Oryctolagus cuniculus: one gene and its partner. The protein of the gene in region 1 purifies or fractionates together with the protein of each later gene. This does not show direct contact. Links are inferred from orthologs where the notes say so. Each region holds a gene or a part of one and is shown on either strand. Other genes may lie near its edges. The genes, in order: PTPN2 and KPNA6.

The links.
Region 2: the proteins of PTPN2 (region 1) and KPNA6 purify together in Homo sapiens (affinity purification with mass spectrometry; 3 studies listed by BioGRID and IntAct, with this or other methods). This does not show direct contact. The link is inferred for Oryctolagus cuniculus from reciprocal best matches to the Homo sapiens genes PTPN2 and KPNA6.

Annotation. Positions count from the first base shown.
Region 1 is NC_091441.1:69,653,082-69,656,902, reverse strand, and holds part of PTPN2 (tyrosine-protein phosphatase non-receptor type 2), read left to right. Parts: intron 1-343; coding exon 344-525; intron 526-3,821. UniProt on the Homo sapiens protein: Non-receptor type tyrosine-specific phosphatase that dephosphorylates receptor protein tyrosine kinases including INSR, EGFR, CSF1R, PDGFR.
Region 2 is NC_091438.1:140,292,816-140,296,636, forward strand, and holds part of KPNA6 (importin subunit alpha-7), read right to left. Parts: intron 3,158-3,821; coding exon 3,063-3,157; intron 1,868-3,062; coding exon 1,736-1,867; intron 280-1,735; coding exon 191-279; intron 1-190. UniProt on the Homo sapiens protein: Functions in nuclear protein import as an adapter protein for nuclear receptor KPNB1. Binds specifically and directly to substrates containing either a simple or bipartite NLS motif.

The DNA of each region.
Region 1 (3,821 bases):
TGACAACATTAGGACCTGTCTAGATATTTTAACTGTTGGGTCTCCCTGCACTGGACAGGAGCAAAGAATAGGAAGATACCAGATCACATTTAACTAATAAAGTATTCAACTACAAGGTGATGTATATAGATAATTAAATGCTTTATAATTAAAAATTTTAAACTTAAGCATAGTAGTCAAAAGTACTGTGGTATAATAAATCCTTGGTCATTTTCATTCATCTTTTCGCATTGCAGGGATTTTTTTCAGCTTGAATATAGAATTTAAAATCAAACGTTTTTAATTTAAGGGAAGCCAAATTTTCGGTGTCTGCATTGCTTTTTCTTTTTTCTTCCCTACCTAGAAACGGTGGAAAGAACTTTCTAAGGAAGATTTATCTCCTGCTTTTGATCATTCACCAAACAAAATAATGACTGAAAAATACAATGGGAACCGAATAGGTCTAGAAGAAGAAAAACCGACAGGTGACCGATGTACAGGACTTTCTTCTAAAACGCAAGACGCTCTGGAGGAGAACAGTGAGAGGTGAGATTCCCAGAGTTAGATGCTCAAAAAGATGAGGCTTTTTATTGTGAAAAGTTCACTTGATGGGAAGCAATATAGACCCTCTGTCTGTCGAATTAATATTTAGGTAGCATATGATTACATGATTGTTCTCAAAAAGCTTTCAGTTCTAGAAAAAGACTGTTTATAAACAGAAACCAGGTGAAAAAACAGTACTAATTGAATACAAAGGTTAATATGATCAGATACTAAAATATACAAGTACAGTATAGTAAATAAATGATATGAATACTTGCCACTTGTAGAGTTAAAAATAAAATTATAAAATATTTAAACTTAATTCCATTGTTAGAGGCAAAAAAGTAGTTTTCTTAAAAAATAGGTAAAATGCCATTTTATACTTTTTCATTTTAATCCATATAAATGTATAAGTTATTGCAAAAGAATTTTTTTAAGATTTATTTATTTAAAAGGCAGAGTTAGATAGAGAGATCTTCCATCTGCTGGTTCACTCCCAAAATGGCCACGATAGCCAGGCTGGGCCAGGCTGGGCCAGGCTGAAGCCAGGAGCCTGAAACTATCCTGTCTCCCATGTGGATGCAGGGGTTCGAGGACTTGAGCCATCTTCCACTGCCTTCCGAGGTACATTAGCAGGGAACTGGATCAGAAGTAGAGCAGCCAGGACTCGAACCAGCATCCACATAGATGCCAGCACTGCCAGTGGAGGCTTTAACTTGCTATGCCACAATGCTGGCCCCCAATTTTTTAAAATTAAAAAAACCTACATTTCTAGGGCTCTGATTATTTCAGGCACACATTAGGAAGCTGGTGTTCTGAGGTCTAAGTCACTTAGCAAAGTGAATGAGCTCTTTTTCTTTTTTGAATGTCTGAATAACTTTTTCTTTTTTGGGGGGGAGGAGTTAAATATACTTTTTATTGTGGGAAGTTTTATGTTGTCATACTTGTCAAGGTTGGGATTTGGGATGTACCATGAAAATAGTATGAAGGTTCCTGTACATTATAGCTGCTGCACACTGTATTTTTGTAATATCAAAATTATATACCTGAAATTTTGTGAAACCTAATATATTGCCATATATAGTAAATGTGTTGTATTTCCAGACAGCACTGCTTCTCATTTATGGCTTTTTTAAGGATTTATTTTATTTATTTGAAAGAGTTATAGAGAAAGGTAGAGAGAGATTTTGCATCTGCTGGTTCACTACCCAGATGGCTACAACAGGCCAGAGCTGAGCCAATCTGAATCCAGGAGCCAGGAGCTTCTTCTGGCTCTCCTACCTGGGTCCCAGGGCCCAAGGACTTGGGCCATGCTCCACTGCTTTTCTAGGCACATTAGCAGGGAGCTGGATTGGAAGTAGAGCAGCTGAGACTCAAACTAGCACCCATATGGGATTCTGGCGCTGCAAGCCAGGACTTTAACATGCCATGCCACAGCACCAGCCCCTCACTTATGACTTTTAGACTAAGTGAAAGCATTAAGCTGTTCCTTTTTTAGCCTTAAATTACTACTATTTTTGAAGATATATTTATTTATTTGAAAGGCAGAGTTACAGGCAGAGAAGAGAGAGAGAGAAAGAAACACCTTCCATCTACTAGTTCACTCCCCAGATGGCCAGAACAGCCAGGGTAGGCCAGACCAAAGCCAAGAGCTTCTTCCAGGTCTCCCACATGGGTGTCTGTGGCCCAAGTAATTGGGCCATCTTCTGCAGCTTTTTCCAGGCCATTAGCAGGGAGCTGGATAGGAAATAGAGCACCTAGGACTTGAGCTGGCATCCAGCACTGCAAGTGGCGGCTTAACCTGCTGTGCCACAGCTCCAGCCCCTTAAGTTAATACTTTTAAATCAGAAAATGATATTGTTTTAAATTACGTTAACTTGTTTGGTAGTAAGATTTTCAGATTCCTAGTATTAGTATCCCCTTCTCCCCCGCTTTTGATTAGTACTATGTGTAAAATTAAGTGAAAAACAAGCTTAATGACTAAATTGGTTTCCTTAGTATCTCAGAATTGTTTTAATTTTAAAAGACACACACAAACCATCTTAACAATCGCAGTGGATGAAACCATCATTGTCCAAATTTGGCAGTCCAGAAATTACTTAAAATAATTTGGGAGCTACAGAGTGATTGCAGAAAGTGTTCTTACAGTGTGTGGATGTGTGCATACATATGTTCACATGGATTGTTTTCTTCTTCTTTTTTTCTTCCCTGGGAGGTAAATGAGACCTGGTGTATGTTTGAAAGCAGAGGGAGGGTCCCAAGAGAGAAGTAAGGCTTTTCAGATGTATGCCTTTCAAGGCAGAGAGAGAAACAGAGATTTAGAATAGAGGTCTCTTATCCATTATTTCACTCTCCAAATGCCTGCAACAGTATGGCATCTGGGCCAGACCAAAACAAGGAGCTTAGAACTTCTTGACTAATCCAAGTCTTGAGCCACTTTAACCGTCACCTCCTACTGCCTCCCAGGGTATGCATTACCAGGAGGTTGGAATTGGGACCTGACCCAAGCCAAGACTTAAAACCCAAGGACTTCCGTATGGGGTGCCGGCATCCTAGGTAGCATCTTAACCACTATACTAAATGCCTGCCTTCTCCAGTGCATTTTAATACTGATGGATAGCTTTGAATAAGAGGTACTAATAGAATAAGATAAAAATTTTGTCAAAGATTTCAGCCATTAAAGGAGTAGAGGGTAATTTCTTCTCTTCATTGTCATTGAGTATCCTCCAAGACAGTGTTTGCCAAATTGAAGGTCAAATCCCATAGTCATGAGATCAGTTATTGGCTTGTAAAAAGAGTTTCTAAAGAAGAAAATAGAATAGAGTAAAATAGAAATTATTAGACTATCATAAATAGTTAACTATGAATACTCTAACCTAGTTTCTTCTGTCCATGTTGTATATAAATTCTCCATACTCAAATGCATACTGTGTATATAGGTAAATGTATGTATATGTGCGCTCCATTGGGATATAAGATATTTCTTGTAGATTGGAATCTTAGTTTGACAACCAGTGTTCTCAATCATCACATGACCCATAAAGCTGTGAGAGTAGAAGGTAGTGGGGCTATATGAAAAGTCTTACTGTGCAGTATGTTTACGTAAAGTGCACCTGCCAGGGCGAGTGTTGGCAGAAGACTGCTGAGTCTGCTGCCATAAGAAATTACATGTGATTTTCCATGGACAAGGGTCCACAGGAGGTTCTCTTTAGGTTTTGTAGCCTAAGTTGTATGAATATATGCAAAAACCTGGTTAGGTCCCCCTTGGAAGGTTATTACACAGACATAATTTCCTGAGG
Region 2 (3,821 bases), on another chromosome or scaffold:
TCCCCTTGGCACAGATCTGAGATGCAATCTTTCTTACTCAAAAAGATACCTAGTTTTTACTTCAGCAATTGGAAAGTACTTTTAGACTTTGTATTTGTCATCTTAAGGGATCAAGTAAGCTATCCCCAAATGACCTGCCACATGGCCGTCCTACAGGTGCCCCAGGTACAAAATGACTGTAATTACTCACGTTAATAAAGGATTCAGGATGGAACAGTTCAAGACGTAATCCCGGCAAACAGAGCTGTCTCCAGCTATGTTTCCCAGTGCCCAGACAGCCTGAAAAGGAAGTGATGAAGCAATCCCTCAGCGCCTGTGGCTTCCATAAGTATTTTATAGACAACCACAGAGTGAGTCCCCATCAGGCTGCCATGTCAAGGCTCAAATCACACGAACCAAGCTCAGGTAACCTCCCTGCTGAAGTCCTTACTGAGCATTTGCTCTTCAAGGACCTCTATGCTCAGAGTCCCTGGTTCAGTGAGGAAGGCGGCTGCCAGCTGTATGACAGACTGAGAAGCCAAAGAGCTCCCCGTTCCCATCCACTCAGACAGAGTTCAGTAAATTGCACTCTTGAAGCTGCCTTGGACCAACTCGTAAATGTAGTAATTTCGACTCGCAACTTCTATACAATCACCAAGAATCCAGTGAGAGAAATGCAAGTTGTATTTTATTGCTATAATCTTTGGGAAATGGTAGTGCAGTGTCTTTCCCGCCCTACTTCTGACACGTAATGCACGTGTGTAGTTTTTCCCATACCAACAACCAATTCTCAGACACTGACTGCTTGTTCAATACTTTAATTTAAATGTGACCCTCACTCCCGAGGTTGAAGCAGATCCCATAGATTAAGGACCCACAGATCACTCCCACGTAACCTGTGCCTCCACTTCAGACACCAATCACAAGTCCCAGAGACTACCTAAACTTTTAACTGACTAGAAAGAAATTTGGGGATTCTTACAGAGAACTCAGAAAACACTACTTGTATGTGGAACAGCCAAATGAAAGAGACACATTAGACAAGGTATAAAGTGAGGAGGGTAGTGTACAGCTTCCATGTTATCTGTCACCTTCCCAGTACATCAATGCGCTCATTAACCCAGAGGCTCTCACCTTCAATAGTTTATAACCCAATCTCCAGATCCCTCCTCTTCCTTGGGAGGCAGTCAGGAGTTCCCACATTCTATGTTTGTATTTTTCTGGTGACCAACCACTGAAAGGCTACCGAGGTTCCCCAAACTGAGTCACTTTGTTAATACAGACTCAGATGTGTTCTAAAAGGGCTCTATAAATAGCAAAAGACATTCCTGTAACTCAGAAAATTCCAATGTTTTTAAGAGCACTGTGTCAAGACTGGGACTAAAACCAAATGTTGGTATTATACTGCAGCTACCATCAAGAATCAAGCCAAGGGGAAGGCGCTGTAGGTTAAGTCTCTGCCTGTGGCACCAGCATCTCATGAATGCAGGTTAAGTCCTAGCTGTTTCACTTCCTATCTAGCTCCCTGCTAATGGCCTGGGAAACCAGTGGAAGATGGCCCAAGTGTTTGGGACCCTGCACCCATGCAGGAGTCCTGGAAGAAGTTTCTGGCTCCTGGCTTCTGATTGGCCCAGCTCTGCCACCGTGGCCACTTGGGGAGTGAATCAGTGGATGGAAGACAGTTCTGTCTATAACTCTGCCTCTCAAATAAATAAATAAATCCTTAAAAAGAAGAACTAAGCCAAATCAGTATTACCTGTTCTTGTACATCCTCAAAGTCCGAGTTAAGCAGCTCTATGAAAATGGGGACGGCCCCTGCTTCAATGACAATTTTGGTTTGCTGGGAGGTTCCAGAGGCAATGTTTGTCAGAGCCCAGGCAGCTTCAAACTGAAAGGTAGATTAAGTCACCATTGAGAGATCATTCCACAGTGTGCAGCCATGTTTACTAGCTGGCTCAGAACAGTAAGCCTCTTGCCCATGAAAAACAAAACAAAACAACAAAACACATAAGCTTTTCCTCTCCCTTCTTTTAAATGGTGAGAAGAGGCAGTGATATGACAACGGGAAGGTGGAATGGTGCTTCCGTGGTCAAATTTTGTACTGTAACAGCATCCCCGGGATCCCCATCATGTCATTTATTTATTTCCTGAGCGTCACAGCCACCTATGAGAAGACTTGGAAGTAGATTAGAGTCTCTGATTTGTAATGGAATGGTGTGTTTGCAATATTCTTATCTTCCTTTGAGTTTTCAAAAAAAAATTGACAGATAACCTTCCATATATAAAAACTGACAGATAACCTTCCATATAAGAATTTGGTGTATGGTAGGAAAAATACCTCTTGCCTACTATATGACACAGTCCTCCAAAGAAATGACAATTAATCTTCCTTAGAAGGGAACCGGTGTCATTCACCCCTTGGGCTATCCTCTCTCCCTTACCATTCTTTATCAGTAAGGGAAAGGAAAACATAACTCAATATATATACTGACGGCGGAATTGTTAAATCTAGCCAATCGGGGCCAGCACTGTGGTGTAGTGGACTAAGCATCTGCCTGCAGCACCAGCATTCCATATGGGCACTGGTTCTAGTCCCTGCTGCTCCTCTTCCGTTCTCCAGCTCTCTGCTATGGTCTAGGAAAGCAGTAGCAGATGGCCTAATGGTTTGGGCCTCTGCACCTGCTTGGGAGACCTGGAAAAAGCTCCTGGCTTTGGATTGGCCCAGTTCCAGACGTTGTGGTCATTTGGGCAGTGAACCAGCAGATGGAAGACCTTTCTTTTTGTCTCTCCCTCTGTCTGTAACTCTACCTATCAAGAAAATAAATAAAAATATTTTTAAAAAATCTAGCCAATTAACAAATGCATTACTCTACATAGTTATTATTGAGAATGTTTTAAGGAAGAGATTTTGTTCTCTTCTTTATATCTTTATAATGTCAAGATCTCTGAGGCAACTGATGCCTTACTTGAAATGTTTCCTCATCTGACTTTTCTATCTCCTGAGAGATATATCTGCAGAAATACCCCATTCCAATTTCTTGGAAAAGGGCTTTATTTGGGAACTCTTTCCCTTGGGGCCTCACCTGTAATGTACAATTTTCATTCCTCTTCAGAAACTCCACAAACCGATCCACTACCCCTGGAGTGTTGATAACTTCATCTATTGGAGGACTAGGCTCTACAAGAGGGAGATGGAAGGAGATAAAAACTGAAGAGAGGCTTTGGTACATCTATTCACTTGTATCAGCTCACGCTTCTTTCTAGACACTTCTAACAAGCATTATAAACATACCCAAACTCCCTTCTGTTCAGGTGGTTTATCAATACCTGCTCAGTTTCTCTTTAAGGATTCATTTATATGAAAGACAAAGAGATTAAAAAAAGACTTTCCATTCATGAGGGCTAGGACTTTTGGTATGGTTTACTATAGCCTCAGGAGCTAGAACTGTGGTATGTGGCAGTTGTTCTATAAAAATTTGGTGTATGGTGGGAAAAACACCTCTTGCCTACTATATGACACAGTCCTCCAAAGAAACGACAATTAATCTTCCTTAGAAGAGAAATATGTAAACCAGTGTCATTCAACCCTTGGGCTATCCTCTCTCCCTTACCATTCTTTGTTTATCAGTAAGGGAAAGGAAAACATAACTCAATTAGGACTGGATTTACCCTTAAGTAGTCCAACTATATCATACAGTTCAAAGATGAATAGGTAGGGGGTGGCTGTTGTGATGGAGTGTGTTAAGCTCCTATGTGGGATGCCCTCATCCCACTTTAAAGTTTTGGCATTGAGTCTTGCCTCAGTTTCCAATCCAGCTTCCTGCTAATGAGCTTGCAAGGTA